3 linked regions of the Macaca mulatta genome follow. Each later gene encodes a partner of the first gene's protein in a complex. Links are inferred from orthologs where the notes say so. Each region holds a gene or a part of one and is shown on either strand. Other genes may lie near its edges. The genes, in order: RANBP9, GID4 and ARMC8.

Evidence for each region.
Region 2: the proteins of RANBP9 (region 1) and GID4 are in contact, whole or in part, in a cryo-EM structure (PDB 7NSC), measured with the Homo sapiens proteins. The link is inferred for Macaca mulatta from reciprocal best matches to the Homo sapiens genes RANBP9 and GID4. Residues at the interface, in NP_005484.2 of Homo sapiens: Ser223, Lys224, Gly225, Arg226, Asp227, Gly228, Tyr229, Met230, Gly256, Asp257, Thr274, Phe275, Thr276, Thr277; in NP_076957.3 of Homo sapiens: Leu187, Arg189, Asp194, Glu195, Asn216, Asp218.
Region 3: the proteins of RANBP9 (region 1) and ARMC8 are in contact, whole or in part, in a cryo-EM structure (PDB 7NSC), measured with the Homo sapiens proteins. The link is inferred for Macaca mulatta from reciprocal best matches to the Homo sapiens genes RANBP9 and ARMC8. Residues at the interface, in NP_005484.2 of Homo sapiens: Tyr271, Gly298, His299, Ser300, Leu301, Gly302, Ile303, Asp337, Asp340, Tyr341, Arg343, Glu344, Thr347; in NP_001350870.1 of Homo sapiens: Gln245, Arg246, Asp247, Val277, Leu278, Lys279, Ile317, Ile320, Thr321, Asp322, His323.

Annotation. Positions count from the first base shown.
Region 1 is NC_133409.1:169,494,302-169,500,539, reverse strand, and holds the end of RANBP9 (ran-binding protein 9), read right to left. Parts: intron 6,216-6,238; coding exon 6,104-6,215; intron 2,952-6,103; coding exon 2,821-2,951; 3' UTR 1,959-2,820; downstream 1-1,958. Other genes in the region: NOL7 (nucleolar protein 7), read left to right, coding at 1-54, 678-799, 878-955, 1,211-1,284. UniProt on the Homo sapiens protein: May act as scaffolding protein, and as adapter protein to couple membrane receptors to intracellular signaling pathways. Acts as a mediator of cell spreading and actin cytoskeleton rearrangement.
Region 2 is NC_133421.1:19,605,442-19,612,883, reverse strand, and holds the start of GID4 (glucose-induced degradation protein 4 homolog), read right to left. Parts: upstream 4,817-7,442; 5' UTR 4,655-4,816; coding exon 4,217-4,654; intron 1-4,216. Other genes in the region: ATPAF2 (ATP synthase mitochondrial F1 complex assembly factor 2), read left to right, coding at 5,095-5,227.
Region 3 is NC_133407.1:41,217,882-41,224,851, reverse strand, and holds part of ARMC8 (armadillo repeat-containing protein 8), read right to left. Parts: intron 4,178-6,970; coding exon 4,106-4,177; intron 2,745-4,105; coding exon 2,602-2,744; intron 2,498-2,601; coding exon 2,400-2,497; intron 1-2,399. UniProt on the Homo sapiens protein: Component of the CTLH E3 ubiquitin-protein ligase complex that selectively accepts ubiquitin from UBE2H and mediates ubiquitination and subsequent proteasomal degradation of the transcription factor HBP1.

The sequences.
Region 1 (6,238 bases):
TGAAAAAGGAAATGACTCCAAAAAAGTTAAAGTACAAAAAGTACAGTCTGTCAGGTAATGAATCTTTTGTTTTATTTGGGATATAAAGGAGACCTCTAAGAGAGTTAAAGTATTGGCTAACATGGGAAATATTTTAATTAGTAGTAATTTCAGATTGGATTCTCTGTGGAAAAATCAGTTTTGGGCTGGGCACGGTGGCTCACACTTGTAATCCCAGCACTTTGGGAGGCTGAAGCAGGTGGATTGCTTGAGTCCAGGATTTCAAGACCAGCCTGGGCAACATGGTAAAGCCCAGTCTCTACACAAAATAAAAAAAGTAACTGGGCGTGCTGGTGTGCTCTACTAAAATATGAGTGTTAGTCTGTTTCTTGTAGTCCTGTAATTTAGTTTTATTCTATCTGTGCATATACAAAATTAGTTTCATTTATCACAGTGAGACAAATGATAAAAATATATTAAAGCAAGCATGTAGGCCGGGTGCAGTGGCCCATGCCCGTAATCCCAGCACTTTGGGAGGCTGAGGCAGGCAAGTTGCTTGAACCTGGGAGGCAGAGGTTGCAATGAGCTGAGATCGTGCAGTCTGAGTGACAGAGTGAGACTCTGTCTCGGGCGGGGGTGGGGGGGAGAGAAAGCAAGCATGTATTAATTCTTTTTTAACCTTTTATATTGATGAACAGCCAGAATAAAAGCTACTTGGCCGTCAGGCTAAAAGACCAAGATCTGAGAGATTCAAGGCAACAAGCGGCACAAGCCTTCATACATAATTCATTATATGGGCCAGGAACCAACAGGACTACTGGTAATTTTTTTATGGACTATTTTCCTCACTTTTTACTGCAAATAAAACTATGAAATGATAAATACCTTTCATTTCTAGTAAATAAGTTCCTGTCTCTTGCCAACAAGAGGTCACCAGTGAAAAAGGCTGCTGTCCAGTTTTTGAATAATGCTTGGGGTAAGATCCAGCTTTATTCTCCTGTCTTTTAATAGCTTTATATGTTGAATCATGTTCTTTTGAAGGAGATAGTTCATAATTATATGCCCCTTATAATGGCTTATATAACTTGTGAAAAACAGGTCAATGTAGTATGTATATACATCTAATGTATAATAAGCCCACCCAGTTTTAGTAATTACATTCATGTAGAGAATTATAAAAATTTTGAATTATGTTTCTCTAATACTCTTACTGCACAACTTTCTATTCTAGGAATCCAGAAAAAACAAAATGCCAAGAGGTTTAAAAGACGGTGGATGGTCAGAAAGATGAAAACTAAGAAGTAAATCAATGCTAAATGAAGAATCTGTACTTTGTATGTATAGAATTTATCTAATAAATTATTGGTAGATAATTTTAAAGGATCATTATAAAAATCATAAACCTATTTGAGGAATTACTCAACCACATTTCATTCTTCTGGAGTAGAATTGTGCCTTGCAATCCTAGAGGAAAAAGTGGTTTAAGAAGGAATTTTCTTTTTAATGTATTTAACTGAATTCAAGCCATACTCATACCAGCAATAGCACCTCGTCTACTCTCCCCGACTGGGGGGTGGGAGGGGTGGCAAAAATGGCACGGACAAAAAGGAGAAATGGACATTCCAGAAAAGTCTCCAACTGCAGCCCTTAGACAATTTGCTGTTAAAGATTCAGTGGACAAAATATAGCTAACTAACAGCGTTTAAATTTTTACTTTTAACCAGTCTGGGGTTGCCTGGTGAGTCTCATATGCCATATTATGAATATGAAAAAAATGAATTTAATTTCCTGTTGCCTTTCTGTGTCACCCATAATATCAGGTTTAACCCTAATCCAGGGATGCCAGTAAACTGAAGGCAGTTTTAGGTTGTAGAACTCAGATTAATTGTAGAAACCATTAATTTTAATTGCTCTAATTTTCATATTAATCATAAAAAGTATGCAAGTACCTAATATATAAACTCAATTGACACTGTATCTGTAGAAGTAAATTTTTAATGGCTGGTTAATTATATCACTACATTTTATTGCAATATAGTACTCATTTAAGCACTTAAAAATGGAAGGTGTACAAAGATTAAATTAAGACACGGTAAATTGACTAAATATTTGGTTTTTATATAAATAAAGGTCATAACCACACCGTTGACATGTAATACTGTTATAATACAACAGTTAAACTTGTGAGTCTACAACAGAAGTCATCTGTAGTTAAACAGGAAACAAAGTTGAAAAAGACCATGTTAAAACAAAACTACTGGGACTAACAGGTTGGGATTGTAAGTAGCAACAAACATATTCACTCAGCTCCTGAGTATTTCAAGTTTTACAGTACACATTAAAAATGATTTCTTCCATCAACACTATAAATTCAAACTGTCGGATGTTTATGCATTTTGCAAGTTACACTGATTGAATGCTTATATGGGAGTGGGGGTCGGAACATCTCCCAATTTGAAGTTTACATCACCCACATGCTAACACAAACACAACTTGTTCCATTTCCTTCCCCTCTCTCCCCCCTCCCCCACAAAGAAGGCAGGATTTTTGGTTTCTTTTAGGTAATTGTTTTAAAGGATTTGTGATGATCAATTTGAACGTCTGAAATTCAGTAATATTTAACTCTTAGACAACTAAGAGGTTAAAGATGGAAAATAATTTCTCCTAACACTAAGTTAGAAAATCATTTGCATCATGCTGTAAACTAGGAAGCAATGTAAAGCGACAAAAACCTGTCCCCAGTACATAATTTAAAAAATCTAAATTTCAAATCAGCAGAGCTGGTCTACTTCCATGTTGACTATATGCCACAATATAAGTGTGAGCTCTTGAAATGCATAGCTAATGTAGGTAGTCTTCCACTGTGGCAAATGCGCAGGATCCAATTCCTGATCGAGCCATCAGTCCTAGACATTGTGTGGCCTGTCCCATTGCTAGGGCAAGTGGAGGTTGCTTTGGCAGATTGTGGGTTTCTGAAGAAAAATAATTTAAAAATGAAAACAGCAATTAGCAAGACATTTTAAAAAACATTTCAATCAGGAGAATACTGCATGACTTTAAAAACTACCACTCCCATACCACTCTGAAATATCAGCAAATGAAGGTTCCTAAGCAAAAGATGCCTTGGACATACTATTCTGACAAGGTAGTATGGGTATTGTCTATCCAGCGATAAGATAAACTCTTGCAGAATCAGATTTTTAAAGTATCAGATACTAAAAAACTGATTTCCATATTAACTATGATGTTTTGGAAAGGTACAACTTTTTATTTGATATTTGGAGTGGAGAGTAAGGAATTATTTCCCTTCTGGTTGATCAAAGTCAGCTGATACTAAAACTAAAAAGGCAACAGGTTTTCATTATGAGTTTCCACTGATGGGTTCTTCCACCTCTGTGGATGGGACCAAACTGAGGCTGCCTAGCCATCTCCAAGGCATATATAGGTAATGTTATTTGGGCTGGTGGGGAGTAGGTGTTGGTGGTGACAGTGAGAGAACATACAGTAGAGCCACCCTGCAGTTTTGGAGGTGCTAATTTACAATGGACAGTTCAGACATTTTTAAAAAATGCCAATAAGTTTTCAGGGTCCTTTGTCAGACATTTGTAGTACAAATGCAATAATTACCAAAATTTGTTCCTTGCCAGAGATGAAAAACCATGAACTAATGGTAAAAGTAGCCAGACTCAGAAGCTGGTAGTTTCTCTTTATGAGAAGGCAATGTCCAACTAATCAATAAAACTACTGATCAGTTCTTTATAGGCACAGTTGACAACAAAGGGCAAAAACAGTGACACATGGCTAGGAAGGCTCCATATGGTTTAACTCCACTCTTGGTTCAGAGGATGCAAATTGATGGTGGGAGAAAGAAGAGGAAATTTGCAAAAGGGAAAAAGCATAATATCAAAAATAAGCAAATTCAGGACTTAGAAAACAAAACAAAAACAGGATTAAGAATAAAAGTGTGCAAAAAAGGCATGTAGACTGGTGAGAAAGTATGGTGTCTTGAGGGTTTACAGGGAAGACCGTGCTCAAAGGCAAGCATCTACAGGGAGTATTTTTAAAATTTTATTTTGGTCAAAGGAAGCATTTGGTGATACATCTTTAACTTTTTTGGATATATGAAATTTTCATAACACTATATACAGATAGCCCTACATAAATAGCATGGTATTTATAAACATACATACCCATCTATAGCAATTTAATAATTGTGTCATTAATTTTATAGGAATCACATGCATTTATATTAATAAGATTAAGCACTATTTATAGCTGATTCTACATAATATAGAACAATATGTCAGAGTACATGTGTCTATAGATAATGGTGCTCAATTAAATTCCCTTGAAGAACTCAAGAAATTAAACTTAAAGAAAACGGGTCACTTTTTCTCAAATTCTTTCCAAGATTAGTATCATCTAATAATTAGGTCTTAATGATTACCTACAATATGGTAACTTCGAAAAGACAATTATAGTAAACCATAATTTTCTGTACAATTCCAGCATTATTACTAAGTTACTTTTATCAATGGAGCTAAATGAATTTTGTAGAACCAATGAAAATATAACACATTAACCAAAGAAAATTCACATTTATATACAAATCCTAAATTTCAGAGAACTACAGCACTAAGGACACTACTCCTATTCCCAAACTTCAGTACTGATCCTTAACAAATCAATAAATTTTCTAAGGGCAAAGAAACAGACTGAGGCTCAAATATGAATGCTTTTCCTTGCTTCCTTTACATTCTTGCCATAAGAGTCCTGGCCCTCGTTTGCAAGTCTCCTTATCTAAACTACTCTTTCATCTACTTTTTGTGGCACTGCCCTCATCTTCCTAAAATAATTTGAAATATGTGACTAAAAGTTTCTGAACCTTGCAGGGCCAAACAGCACAGCACAGACTTCTAAACTAGACTGGAGTCCCAATTACCTGGGAATTAAGACTCAAAGTCAAATAAAAACTCACTCTTTACGCAAATTACCTTTGATGAGAACTGCCCAAAACTCAAATTTGTTTTATGTAAACAATCGACCATACCACATTTATATAGAAATGCACAATATGTGCAGTTACACAATTCATACAAAAAGTATTTGTTCAGTATATAAATACTAGAATCATACACTCTACAGTGAGTTGCTCATAGGAATGGCAACCAAACAGGAACATCGAATTAGAGTTTCGCACTTCATGCTCACCCCTGGCTAAGCCTCACCTTTTAAATTGCTTTTCTCTTCCTCACCCACCCTTTTTATTGGGTGAGGGTACGTAGTTGAATCTGGCTAATATAAATGCAAATAGAATTTGACATCAAGGCTTGGTCCTGCAGGGTACTCACAAGTCACCTGGAAGGCCCTTGTGCTCGTATTCATAAGCATGGTGGGAGCTGTAATACCCGTGGCTTAGGCTGCCGCTACCCATTGCAAATAGCTCAAGCAAAATGGTGGGGAACAAGGTAACAGGGGAGCACCAGGTAGGAATCCTGCCTTCTACTGGATCAGTTTGAGCTTCTCTGATACTCAAGCTCTTCACTCCCTTATTTCCATTCTCATTCTCCACCAAAACCTCTATTTCTTGACTTTGATTTTCTTCAAATGTACCCTGTTCCCTTCTAGCCTAACTCTTGTGACAATTATTAATCTATGTTCTTGTTAACATTCTCCGATTCCTTCTACAACAGCCAAACTAGAGAATGCCATGCAATTGCTAGCCTAGAAATCAGTAGCAGAAAATGCCTTTCACTACAGAGGGCTGTAAGGAATGTCTCTGGTAGGGCAATAGTTTGAATTATACAAAAGAACCACCAAATCTCTCATTCAAATGAGAGTAGACATTCGTGGCTACCAGAAATGCTTACATACATGCACAAAAAAACTTCTATTTCCCAAACATCCCAAGTTGTACCCCATTTTACTGTTTTTATTCTATTTAAATCCATTTGAATCTGGAATTAAAGGAGGGGGGTTTCTGTATTTTAGGTATTTTTATATTTAAAAAATATAGAAAACATTCTCCTTATGATTTTACCAAAGTATAAATGCCAGTACAAACACCCTCTCTTAAATTTTCAGAGAATCTAGTTGAAATTGTGCCTTATTTGGCTTTACTTACCTAATATTGCACTGTTAAGAGCTGAGCACACAGGTTCTCTCTGAATCGGGTCAAGCTGATTTCCAACTGGGCTGTTCCAGGGATCTGAATATGCTAGTAAACTGAATGCATCCTGTTGAAAACACACCAATTTGG
Region 2 (7,442 bases), on another chromosome or scaffold:
GGGTACCTGCGGTACACTGAGATTTTAATGGTAAGTGAGGTCTTATTTCAAGAAATTAGAATAGTTTTGTGGCATTTATCGCATTTGTGAGCTTGATTACTTCCAATTATACCATAAACCAAATAGCAAGCCATGCTTAAAAACTGTAATGAACTTAGTCAACCAGATGATGTCAGTACCAAAGCAAATGGACTTCAATGAAGCCAAAGTGCCTTCACAGTTTGGTGCTGGTGACAAAGGTATTCCCTGTGAAAACTGCCAAAGCATTGTAAATATCCTCATTTGCTAACCTTGCCATTGGACATTATCTAAAACAGCTAATCCACACTAACATGGTTCAGCAAAGAACTTTTATTAAAGGACACATAATTCTAACCTGAGTCTTTAAATTTCATGCATGCAATTCTCATTGAATTCAATATAGTTTGGGGTTTTGCAGCTGCTGGAAAGGGTATCAGGTGGCAAGAATACTTGCTAATAAGATTAAAAATTGAAATGTAAATTGGCTAACATTTTGCATGGATTATCACATGCTCAAGAATCAGAATTTCAGCTTGGCCTCCATTCAACCAAGTGTCTCTCTATTTCTGCCCAAATTGATCTTGATAATGGTTGGTGAACTCAAACACACCACAATGCATACAGCTTTTGCCAAATGGCAGGCGAGCATCTCAAGAAAGATAACAGGGCACATGTTTAGCAAGAAGGTCTCACAGCACAGCTGTGTCCAACGGCTGCTCTTTTAAATATTCCTTTCACAGCGACCAGGCCTCCCTTCTACTGCTGGCTTCTTAGATGGCAGAGGAGGAAAGAGAAGTCACAGTAAGTTGGGGGTGGAGAGGAGACCCAGTCAGAAACTCACAAAGCTTTGAGGAACTCTTTAAATTAGAATCACAAAAAAGAAAATGCTCCAAAACAACAACAACAACAACAACACAAAAAACACATGAAAAGATGCACAACATCACAGTAATTATAGAAATTCAAATCAAGACTACAATGAGAGACCACTTCAAAAACACTAGGACGGCTACAATAAAAAAGATGAACAGTGAGTGTTGGTGAGGATGCGGAGAAACTGGAACCCTCACCCACTGCTGGTGGAAATGTGAAACAATGCAGGGGCAGTTTCTCAAAATGTTAAAACAGAGTTACCATGTGACCCAGCAATTCCACTCCCAGGTAGTTATCTACAGAAATGAAATATACTCCACATAAAAACTTGTACATAAATGTACATAGTAGTATTATTCATAGTAGCCAGAAGTGAAAACAACCCAAATGTCTATCAACTGATCACTGGATAAACAAAATATTGTATATCCATTCAATGGACAATTGTTACAATGAACAATGCAATATAAGTGCTGATACATATTACGATATGGCTGAACCTCGAGGACATTATGCTAAGTGAAAGAAGCCACTCTCAAAGGGACAAATACTGTATGATTACATGAAATGTCCAGAATAGACAAACAACAACAAAAATAGATGAGCAGTTGCCTAGCATTGGAAGGGGGGTTATGGCTAAGGGTTACAAGGTTTCCTTTTGGGGTGACAAAAATATTCTAAAATTAGGTTGTGGTGGTGGTTAAACAACTGTGAATATACTAAAAACTACTGAATTGTACACTTTAAATAAGTGAATTATATCTAAATAAAGATACAAAAAGAAAGAAAAGAAAATGAGAAGAAACAAAAAGAAGCTGAGTTATAAAAGGCAGAAGTAAGTCTAAGAAGGCTGTGTCTGACAAACTAGTCCTGGCTGAAAAACCAGATGATGGGGCAATTCACATGCCACTGACTAGTCGTGATGATGACCAAGCAGCTCACCAATCCAGATGTAGGGCAGCATTCATTGGCATGACCACCACCCCCACCATCAGACATCCTACTCAAGTGGCTCCCAGTCATCCACCAGGTTTCTGCTCTGGGCTGCCTGAGACCTGTCAGCCCTGCCCCAACTCAACCACAGCTTCCACTGGTTCATGATTCTTCTGAAAGGAGCTCAGAAGTGACACCTTAATGATGGAAGGGAGCAGCAGTTGCTGCAGTAGCCAAAGCAGACTCCTCTTTGATGCCTGGCTATCCTGCCAGTTGTCCCCTACTACATCAGAAACCATCAAACTGAGCAACAGGGACAAATCCAAGATCATTCCAAACGTGACCCACCCAGGGATCTCACCTCCAAAATTCTATGATTAGGTGTAAAACAAACCAAAAAACCCCAGTACCTTCATACTCGACTCTCACATTTTAAGAAAAAGAGAAGAAGATCACCGCATTAGGCATACAGTTATGAAGATAAAAATATTTCAGCCACAATCGTTTTTCCATTATAATAAATATCGTGGTTCATGATAGAACTTTACAGCCCAAAGATATGATTAACATGATGATGCTGTTTCAAGTAAGCAGAGAAGACGATTTATTCCCACAAAGCAATATGAGAATAAAAGAGTGATGAGTGCTCTGCAGTTAGCAGAAAAGGGACCCTCATTGTCTTTTGGATGGGAGACCTACTCTTCAGAAGTGAAACTAAGATTTGTTTTAACTGACCAAAAGGAAAGCTTGAGGAACAGATATACGGTACATTCCACCCTCACACCCGGGGGGCGGGGAGGGGGGCAGTGGGGCAGCACACAGTGCCTTTCAGAGGGACAGGTGTTTGGAGGGGCTTCTGGGAACAGCCTGGCAGACGAGGTGTCAGACTAAGGAAAAAAGGGCAAAGGAAAGGGGTCCTCGGGCAGGCAGGGGTAGGTATAGAGGAGGAAGAGTTTAGTAGGGAAGGGAGATAAAAAGGAGTATTCATGGTGGCTCAAGTCTGTAATCCCAGCACTTTGGGAGGCCAAGACGGGCGGATCACGAGGTCAGGAGATCGAGACCATCCTGGCTAACACGGTGAAACCCCATCTCTACTAAAAATACAAAAAACTAGCTGGGCGAGGTGGTGGGCACCTGTAGTCCCAGCTACTCGGGAGGCTGAGGCAGGAGAATGGCGTAAACCCGGGAGGCGGAGCTTGCAGTGAGCTGAGATCCGGCCACTGCACTCCAGCCTGGGCGACAGAGCGAGTCTCCGTCTCAAAAAAAAAAAAAAAAAAAGGAGTATTCACCACTGCTACTCCATTTCAGCTGGCAGAAAGTGTCAAGCCTGAGAGGAGTGAGGTGTGGGAAAGGCCCAGACAGGTGAAGCTGTACTTCCGAAGCTGATCAGGGACTGGCAGCAGGTATTTAGGAATCCAGGTCAAATGGGGGGAAGCGACTGGACATGAACTAAAATTGGGTGAGTTAGATTTCCCAGTACGTGGGTACCAGAGACTGAGAGGAAGCCCTGTGCCGCTGAGAACAGTTAAGAATAGGAAAGAGGGTCCCCTGGAACCAGGATCAGGCAAGACGAAGGTATGGGATGGGGGAGTCTGGATAGAGGCCAGGAAGACTGGGAAAAGACCGCAAGTGGTCCCAGAGCAGGGGCAGGAGGCCTGGGGGTAGAGAAGCTGGAAGGAGTTGGGTGCCTGGACCATGAAAAGACAGAAGCAGTGAGTGGAACAGGGGACCCAGGAGGCAACATCCCAGCAGACTGTGAGCGGCACTCAGGGAGTGAGTGCCTGGTCTTGAGGTGGGGCCAGGGCCTGACCAGTCAGTTGTGGGTTAGGCGCTCCCCCGTCTGGGGGTCTGATGAAGCCCTCCTAAGGAGATCTCAGGAGCAGGAAGACCCCAGGGTCTGCGGATTCCTGGGACTGAGGAAGGGGCGGGAGGGCATGTCTCAGGTCTGAGAGAATCTGACATGGGCCCAGACACGGGGAGGGTCCCGAGTCTGGTGAAACCAATGGAGAGTGCTTCAGGGTCTGAAAAGGGCTGGTGGCAGTCCCTGATCTAGGGACGACAGGTCATGGGGAGGAAGGACCCAGGCCTTTCCCTAGTCATGAGGGGCTTCCGGATCCCAGACGGGCCGGTCACGGGCTTCAAGTCTGGGAGTGTTCGGGGTCCGCCGGGAGCCGGTCACGACGGGCTCCGGGTCCGAAGGGGCAGGTCAGGGCTGGGGCTCGGAGAGTGTGAGACACAGGCTGGGCAGGTCCCGGGTGGGAAGCGCCGGGTGCAGGAGGCCCCGGCGGCGAGGGCCTGTTCCGCGGCTGCGGGCTCGAGGAGCCGAGGCGGGCACGGCCCGTGAGCGCCGCGAGGAGGCCCTCGGGCCCCGGCCCGGCCCGGCGCTCACCTGCAGCACCACCTCTACGTCGTACGAGTTCCCCTTGCTCTTCTGGTGGCCGCGGAACTTGGAGCCGCTGTAGAGCAGACTGGTGGCCACGCCGGGCTGCTGGGTGTTGATGGGCGGCGGCGGGATGAGTGAGGCCGCGGAGGCAGCCGAGGCACCGGCCGGCGGGGGACACTCGGTGCGGACGGGCATCGCGGGGTCCCCCGGAGCCAGGGCTGGGGGGAGTGGGAGAGGAACCGCCGCCGCCGCGCGGGAGCCGAGGAGGGTGGCGGGGAGGGAGAGGCCGGGGCGCGCACGCGCGGGGTGGGGGCGGGAGGGGCGACCACCCGCCCGCTGCCTGCGGACCAAGCGCTCTGGCCGCCACCGGGACCCAGGGACCTGCGAGCAGGGCCTCCCAGTCCTGAGCTGGGTCCCCCTCCCGACTTGCCCTCGCGCACACATACACACACAGAGACACTCACAGACACACTCACACACGCACACACACACCCCGCCCCTTCCGATTGGCTCGGGCGAGCCTCGGGGGCGGGAGCAGGCTCACGCGGCGCTTCCGCCCATTGGCGGGAGGAGAAAACACGTGGCGGGGTGCGCGAGCGGCCCGCTGGGACTTGTAGTCTCCTCGCCGAGGCGCGGCGTGGAGGGGGCGGGGCGAGGTGCGTTTGTGATGCTGATTGACTGGGGGTGTGCGCAGGAGGTTTGCGAAGGCGACGGCGCGCCGTTGGTGTCATGCGGAAGATGGCGGCGTCCAAGGGAGGCTGAGGGCTTTGAGGAAGCGGTGAGAGGTTTCCGTACAGCCCGAACGTGCGGTTTTGGGGGTCCCTTCGCTCTGTGTTTCCTGCTCCAGGTTTCGCGTCGCGCATCTTCCCAGACCCTCGGGCGCGATGTGGAGGAGCTGCCTCCGGCTGCGGGACGGGGGACGCCGTCTCCTGAATCGGCCTGCGGGTGGTCCCTGCGCTTCTATGAGTCCGGGGCCAACCATCCCGTCTCCAGCCCGGGCTTACGCCCCGCCGACAGGTAAGACTATGACACGTTCTCTTTTGGGTAGGGGCCGAGCTGGGGTAAGGTGGGCTTCGGGCTTCGGCTATGCAAAGCGAGGTGACTGAGGCAGGGTTCAGGCTCATGAGGTTATGCAAGCCGGTCAAGTCTTTTTACAGATGAGAAAGTGAAGCCCAGACAAGGGCAGACGACCCGAGAGGGAACAGCGAGTGACGCACGATACAGTAATTGATATTTGGCCTGTGCAGCTTTTCTCAAAGCTTATGGCTGCCCTCCCTAGGAAATAAGGTGTCATCCTTGTTTTCAAAAGGGGAAGTTTGGGCTCTGAATCAGGACTTCGCCTAGGTTACAGACAGACTGTCTCAGAGATTTGAGGTGTCTGACTGCTTTCCGTGTCTCCACTGCCCAACACAATACCTGCACAGAAGGGACCTAGAACCTAGACCTTCATTCCTCCATCCTGGGCACTTCAGCTGCAGGTTTCCTGACTTTCCCTCCTACCACAACCTCTGCCATCTGCAGCCTTCTCTGCTAAATAGAAATTGACATCTCCACCTTTGACTGTGGAGTCACCTCCACCTCCAACTCTGATGAAGCTCAGACGTAGTGGTTCTTTCATTGCTGATGGTGAGTGGTGTTAGGGTAAGAGTGAGAATGATTCATTTCAGTGAATGAAAAGCAGTAACACCCTCCCACCATTCAATTAGTTTTATAGTGCTGGAGGCAGGAGACACGGTAGTCTTTAAGACCCACCTGTATGTATTGGTAGAGAAGCTCAGTTAAAGAAGAAAAAGACCCACCTGAATGATGTTCACTGTTGAGTGCAAAGGGTATAATATCCTGATAAGGGACATACAAAGAAGCTGTGAAAACACGGAGAATCACCTGCTCCCGTCTTGGGGCTGTTCAGGGTTTAGAATGGGTCTTGGGTGAAAGGGCATTTAAGCTGAGCCATGATAGATGAGTAGGAGTTCAGCAAGAAGGTGGGAGAGTGTTGGGTATCTAGAACATGTCCAGGGTGACAGCAAGATATGAGGGACTTTTCCCTAACACTGCCTGCTTTAGAAACTTGAGAACTTCACAGACAGTTTGGCATTGTGGCAGGAGTGCAAATCTAGGATCTGATACTGGCAAAACCTCTGAGGTCTGTGTGATCTTGGGCATGCAACTACTTCCTAATTTTTCTGCATGAGTTGAAGTACTAGGTTGTCTTTGAGGATCTTTCTGGCTATTGAGTTCTTTTTTTTTTTTCTTTGTTTCTTTTTTTTTTTTTTTTTTGAGACAGAGTCTCACTCTGTCGTGGAGGCTGGAGTGCAGTGGCGCGATCTCGGCTCACTGCAACCTCCGCCTCCCAGGTTCAAGTGATTCTCTGGTCTTAGCCTCCTGAGTAGCTGGTACTACAGGCATCTGCCACCAGGCCCAGCTAATTTTTGTATTTTTAGTAGAGATGGGGTTTATGTTGGCCAGACAGGTCTCGAACTCCTGACCTTGTGATCTGCCTGCCTCGGCCTCCCAAAGTGCTGGGATTACAGGCGTGAGCCACTGCACCTGTCCAAGTTCTATAACTTTATAGAAATGGGGAAGGGGGCTGGATGCAGCAGGGAGCTGAAGTTTCACCTGTAGGACTCAGGGGAAGGGCCTGGAAATGGGCCATGAAGGGCCAGTAAAGAAGAGGAAGGAAGGGCATCCTGGGGAGGCATAGCAAAGGGGACACATTCGGGAGTTCACCAAGTTGGCAAAAAGCAAAGGGTTAATTAATTAATTTTTTAATGTGTGTGTATATATATATTTATTTATTTATTTTGAGATGGAATTTTGCACTTGTCACCCAGGCTAGAGTGCAATGGCACAATCTTGACTCACTGCAACCTCCGCCTCCCAGATTCAAGCAAGTCTCCTGCCTCAGCCTCCCAAGTAGCTGGGATTACAGGTGTCTACCACCACACCAGGCTAATTTTGTATTTTTAGTAGAGATGGGGTTTCACCATGTTGGCCAGACTGGTCATGAACTCCTGACCTCAGGTGATCCGCCCGCCTCAGCCTCCCAAACTGCTGGGATTATAGGCATGAGCCACCACGCCCGACCACGAAGGGTTAATTTAGATTAGTGGATGCTCACTTTACATAATGGTGGCACTTGATCTACTGCCTTCTTTTCCTTTCTAAAAAGCCTAAACTTACTAGTTAGGCTCTTGGAATTACCTGGCACATGGTAGATAGTACCTAAACTTAC
Region 3 (6,970 bases), on another chromosome or scaffold:
ATACTGTAGGTGCTCCCTACTGTGTGAGGTGACCCATAAATCTCACCTACTGACCACCTTATGTATCATTAAGGGCCAGAAGAGTATGTGTCTGATGTAGGAAGGACAGACTAGGCAGCCATGTGACATGTCTCCTCTCCATGCTTGCTTTGCCTCTTCCTCTTGATTACTTATAGTCTTGAAACATTTATAAAGCCTGATTCTGGATAAGATCTCTGACTCCTGTGTGTATAATCTGACAATATGATTCGTTGTGTTAGCTCAGATAATCACAACCACCATTTTTTTAAAGAATGAAAAATGATGGCATAGAAACCAGAAGGCATTACATCTGTGGAAATATGTCATGAAACTTGTCTTAGGATTCTTTCACATACACATACATACATGCACACATATACACACACATATACAAATTGACATGTATAGTGAGGCAGGGGAAAATATGCTTCTTGCTGTGAACTGTGAATAAGAGTGTTTAAAAATATTGGCCTAGGGGCCGGGCGCGGTGGCTCAAGCCTGTAATCCCAGCACTTTGGGAGGCCGAGACGGGCGGATCACGAGGTCAGGAGATCGAGACCATCCTGGCTAACACGGTGAAACCCTGTCTCTACTAAAAAAAATACAAAAAACTAGCCGGGCGAGGTGGCAGGCGCCTGTAGTCCCAGCTACTCGGGAGGCTGAGGCAGGAGAATGGCGTAAACCCGGGAGGCGTAGCTTGCAGTGAGCTGAGATCCGGCCACTGCACTCCAGCCTGGGTGACAGAGCGAGACTCCGTCTCAAAAAAAAAAAAAAAAAAATATTGGCCTAATTATCAGTAAGAAAGCCCCATGTAAAGTGACTGTAATTTACAATAATCTATTGTATATTGAAAAATAGCTAGAAGAGGCCGGGCGCAGTGGCTCACACGCCTGTAATCCCAGTACTTTCAGAGGCTGAGGCAGGAGAATCACTTGAACTCAGGAGGCAGAGGTTGCAGGGCCAAGATTCCTCCACTGCACTCCACCCTGGGCGAGAGAGACTCCATCTCCAAAAAAAAAAAAAAAGCCAGAAGAAAAGAATTTGGGCCAAGCACAGGGTCTCATGCCTTCCTCTCCACTTCTCTAAGTCTTATCCATTATTCAAAACCCAGATTAAATTTTAGCTTCTCTGCAAAGCCTACTCTGCTGGATTTCAACTGAAAGTCAGCTGAACTCCCTATCATTCATCTAGCGTAAAATAAACTTCTCTTAAGTTCTACATACAGAGAGATAAAAATGGGTCTTTTTAAAAATAGCTTGTAAATTCCTCAAAGTCTGAGACCGTCTTTCACTTTCTTGCAAAGCTGAGAGCATCTGATATTTGGAAATAAGCAAGAACTTTATTCATGTACTTATTTAGAGACAGAGTCTGCCCTGTCGCCCAGGCTGGAGTAGGGTGGTGTGATCTCAGATCACTGCAACGTCTCCTCCTGGGTTCAAGTGATTTTCATGGCTCAGCCTCCCCAGTAGCTGGCATTGCAGGCATGTGCCACCATGCCTGGTTAATTTTTGCAGTTTTAATAGAAATGGGAGTTTCACCATGTTGGCCAGGCTGGTCTCGAACTCCTGGCCTCAGGTAATATATCCACCTTGAACTCCTAAACTGCTAGGATTACAGGCGTGAGCCACCATACCCAGCTGAGACTTTTATCATTTTTTATTTTTAGTGACAGGATTTCACTCTGTCACCTAGGCTGAGGTGCAGGGGCACCATCATAGCTTACTATAACCTCAAACTCCTAGGCTCACGCAATCCTTCCACTGCAGTCTCATGAGTAGCTAGGACTATAGGCATGCATCATTGCACCAGGCTAATTTATTTTTATTTTTTTCTTGTAGAGATGGAGTCTTGTTGCCAGGCACGGTGGATCACACCTGTAATCCCAGCACTTTGGGAGGCTGAGGTGGGTGGATCACGAGGTCAGGAGTTCAAGACCAGCCTGGCCAAGATGGTGAAACCCCATCTCTACTAAAAATACAAAAAATTAGCCAGGCATGGTGGCACACACTTGTAATCCCAGCTACTCCAGAGGCTGAGGCAGAGAATTGCTTAAACCTGGGGGGGAGTGGAGGTTGTAGTGAGCCGAGATCGTGCCACTGCACTCTGGCCTGGGCAACAGAGTAAGACTCCAACTCAAAAAAAAAAAGAGAGAGAGAGATGGAGTCTTGTTATGTCATTCTGGTTTGTCTTGAACTCCTGGCCTCAAGCAATCCTCCCACCTCAGCCTCCCAAAGCACTGGGATTACAGGTGTGAGCCACCATGTCCAACTGAGACTTTTTTACATAACACAGTTAGGATAAGTCTGAAGATGCTAAGCAAATTAGGAGTAGGCTGTTAGTGAAATGTAACTAATGTCTCAAATCCATCTAAAACTCACTGTATACAGTAGCTCCTCTGGAGTGACAGGACTGGTGAAGATGGTACGCAGGCATCGGAGGCAAGCTTCAATAAACTTCAGGTCTGGGGACAGTAGTCCTATTAACAGAAACTAGATTTAGGACTAATCCTTTCAACCAGTATTTAAAGCACTGCAAACTGATTCTCAGCCTTACTTGAGCAAAAATGGCTTCCCTACGTACCTTGCAATAAGGCAGGGATAATATGGCAGTCCAGTAGAGACTTGACATTGTTTTCAGTACCCATAGCAAGACTTCCCAACACCACTGCACATTCAGTTTTCAGCTCTGTGCTTGAGGTTTCTTGCTGAAGCAAGTACAACAATCTAAAAAGAAGGAAATTAATAAACAAAGAGACTAAAAAATGTAAACAAGACTCAATATGACCAAAAAAGGCTGTGTGGTCCACATACTAAAAATACGGTTGGTTGAGTTTATATGAATCGAATGGTCATTTGTTTATCTCATCTGCTAATTAAAGAAACATCTGGAAAAATCTAGAAGAGGTTTTGAAAACAAGAACTATCATATTCTCAGGGTTTATAAAAAGTGTAAATCTGAAAGTTGTCTACAAGTGGTCTCTGTAGAAACAGCATCATCGAGTCCACGTCATCTACCACTTCCTGTTGGGTCTCCAAAATATGAAGACTCTCAATGCCATGTGCTGCCAGATCTTAAATTCAAACTACAAACAATACTGCTCTGAATCCAGAGCAGTGGTGCAGAGTTTGTAGAGATCGAGCCCAGAGGGAATATTCAGAGCCCTTGTGCAGCTCCTCAAGCAAGGGAAATTTCTTCTTTCTCCACTTCTCATTTGGAAAATGAAGACATCCTCTCATTTCCACTCCAGCCCAGCTTGCCAAACAAATACTCCCCAAACCCTAACCTGTCTCCACTTATAACCATCTACCTTATGTTCTAAGATAGGACCCTCATGCTCCATAAAGTACTATTTATATATACCAAACATAAATCCCCTAAGAAAGGCTGCTGACAGCTTTACAGTTACTAAAGTATACATTTGAGGGTGGTGAGTTAAAACATTTAAACCATTAATTCTGTTTCAAAACCAGAAAATAAGGAGGAAAAAAAACAAAATAATAAATAATTCTGAATGAAAAGCTAACAGCAATTGCACAGAAAACTAGCTCTGAGGAGCAAAAGTAAAGAGGAAGTTACATAACTGTCATTGCCTGCCTAAAGGACGCTTATTAGGTCACCAAAAGAAGAAATTAAACTTCCTAAACTTCCTACATTAACTTAAAAAACAGCAAATTGTTAAAATGAAACTGGATTAAAAATCAAGCAGGGTTTTTTTCCTTTAACTTCAACAAGGTCTTAAGACTCCTAATAAATTACCCACTCACACAAAAAACTGCCAAGGCTCTAAGGAAATGGAGAAGAAAGTATTAAGCTGCTGTACATTGCCTATGTACCTAACAAACCCTTTTATCGTCAGGTCAAAGGTCTTCCAAGTATTAACACATTCACTTCTTATTACATTCTCTGTTACTTTATAATTTTTTTCCTTAGAGATGGTGTAAATACTTACGCTTATTTTTAAAAATAGGATTTATTTTAAGAATTAAATAGACAATACAGGAAAAAATGGGTTCTATTATTGAAAGTAAGAAATACATTAGAAATTAGTATGAATGGCACGAAAGGGGTGAGACAGCAAATATACCTTGGAACAGCTCCTAAAACAATGAGATTGGCTTTCTGCTTGTTGTTTCCAATTACAGCATTTTTCATGTCTCTGAATTAAGGGGAAAAAAAAATAAAGTATGTTGAGATAGCACTGAAAAAAATCAAAGATCATTCTACTTCATTATGCAATATCTCAGATTTGACAAAGTAAAAGCACTAACCTTTTTTCATCTAAAGTACTAACGAAGGGATAGAGATAGGTGCAGAGTGAACGTGGGGGCTGTAAAACAGGCAAGTATTGTAGAAAGTGAGAGATATCCTGAGTACCGGCAAAATACTTCCAGTACAGAATTGAGTTCTTTTAAAAAGGGTACCTACCAATTCTTTGGATATAAAGGAATGTAGGCCACTTTCCCACTCAGCTCTGGGAGTAGGGAGTGAGTTAAACAAACAACAACAACAACAACAACAAAAAACAGCCCACAGAACATTATCTCCTTGTTTCAAGGATCACACGTTGTTCACTTTTTTCTTTTTTTTCTTGATGTCTTTATTTCTTATAATTTCATTTTATCTGCTTTATTGTCTTACTAACTGTATTCCTTTGTTGTTTTCCAATGCATCTTTTAAGTTATCACAGTCAGTCTTCAAGTGATATTAGCCCATTGCATATGTATTTTAAGAGCCTCACGTATGTATTTCCATTTTCCCATTCATTTTTTGGGCTGTTGTTATATAATATTTTTAAATTGCTTAGAAACAACATAATACATTGTTACTATTTTTGCTTAAGCAAAATTATCTCTTAAGGAGATTAAAAAAATAACAACAAATCTTTTACATTTCTCAGATATTCAGGTATTTTTTATTCTAGCTACACAGAGCACTATACTTCACCAGGAGCAAAACCCTATTCCACAATAAGAGAACCTCTACCACTGATCAATTGGCTCACAAATTTGTGGTTGGTTCAAAAGGAAATGTAGAGAAAAAATAAATAGCTCAAAATAAACCCAGTACTACCAATAAAATCTTTAAAAAAATACTTCCCCGGCTGGGCGTGCTGACTTACGCCTGTAATCCCAGCTCTTTGGGCGGTCTAGGCAGGCAGATTGCTTGAACTCAGGAGTTTGAGACCAGACTGAACAACATGGTGAAACTCCATCTCTACAAATAATACAAAAATTAGCCAGTTGTGGTGGCATGCACTTGTCGTCCCAGCTACTTGGGGGGCTAAGGTGGGAGGATCACTTCAGCCAGGGAGGTGGAGGTTACAGTGAGCAGAGATCAGACTGCACTCCAGTCTGGGCGCCAGACCGAGACTCCATCTCCAAAAAAAAAAAAAAAAAAAATCAACAAATAAATGTTAGAGTCAGCATATATTTCTAACACCAATCATATTTACTGGCGTTAAAGAACCTGGTAACAATTAATCCTTGTCTCCAATTGCCTTTTTTGATCATTGCAGAAAAATACTGCAACAACTAGTGATGTGTTAAAAGCAGATTTTCCCTACAAGTTTCTGAATGGCATTTTTACAAGTCGAGCCAAACACTGAGAATGCCTGGTTTTTCTTCCATTAGCTCAGTGCCTGAGGGTACGGCTTTTTTTCAAGGCCTGACCTATCCCTCTGTAAAGTATCCCTCAGATCTTCTATATGGTTTTCAAGAAATAAGTAGCAATTTTTTTGTTGTTGTTTATGGGACTGAACTGAATGAAGTTTACTGAGGTTGTTAGCAAGTTCTGACACATGAATATAAAGCTATATGATATCAAAGGCTCAATTAGCAAAGTTAAAGTTAGTAAGAGATTGTATTTCTAAGCTCCTGCATCCTCATGGAGGCCTGTTTTCTTTAGAGGCTTTAGTTCATAATCATCAGCATATGGACCTTAACCTACCAGCTTGTTGTTTACTTTCATCATCTCCCTTTCTCTTAATGTGTTCTGCCTATACTAATGCAGCACATTCATTTGTCCAGCCCATCTAGAGTCTGTGTAGGCTAAGTGCCATTCTGAGTGCTTTCTATTCCAGAACTCCCAACCCTAATATTTCCACAGTTTTTCCTCTCCATTCTTCTTAATTAAGCAGAAATGAGGGGTCCCTAACATTACCAAATGAACCCATTCCCAACATCTGAAACCATGCCATGTTTTTATAGACAAGAGCAAACAAAAACCCCTCCAACCCAAATTTTCTAATTCTCTTAATAGTTTTACAAAAAGGACATGGAGGTAACTGATGGCAATAGAGGAAATGTCACCTAAAGAGAACACAATAAAATGGAACAATGTCTAAAGAAAAAGATTCTCGCTCTGGTTTTAGTAAGTAAATATACCTGTGCTAGATAAGAAAAAACGATGTTAATAAATTCTATTCAATTGTTGCTATAAAGGAATGCTAGATCACTTCTATGAAGAATTAAAATCAAAAGGATTAATTAACAGGATTAAGGAATCAATTTCAGATGACAACATTCAGCCATCTAGATGAAACTTCTTTCAGTTCCCAGAGTGCAGTTATTCTTTCTCTGTCATCTCCTTATCCCCTCTCTCATACTTTCCTCTGGCTAGCTTTACTCATCCTTCAGGTCTGAGTGTCACTTCCTCCAGGAAGCATGCCCTGAAACTCCCAGGTCAGGGTTAGGTGTCCCTCCTAGTTGCCCTCTATCATAATACAATCATCACTTTGTTAGGATAAAAGTCTATCTCCTCTTCAGAGGCAAGAAAGCCAATCTCACCTGGAAATATCGGAGAAGTTACTGTCAGCAGATCATTAATTATAGTGATTCTAGATATCCATTATTTTTGTCAAATGCAAATTCACAGCTATCGTCCAAGATGGGAACACAACACTATCCCAGATTTCTATATTACCTTCAAATTTACAAAGCATTCCATATCC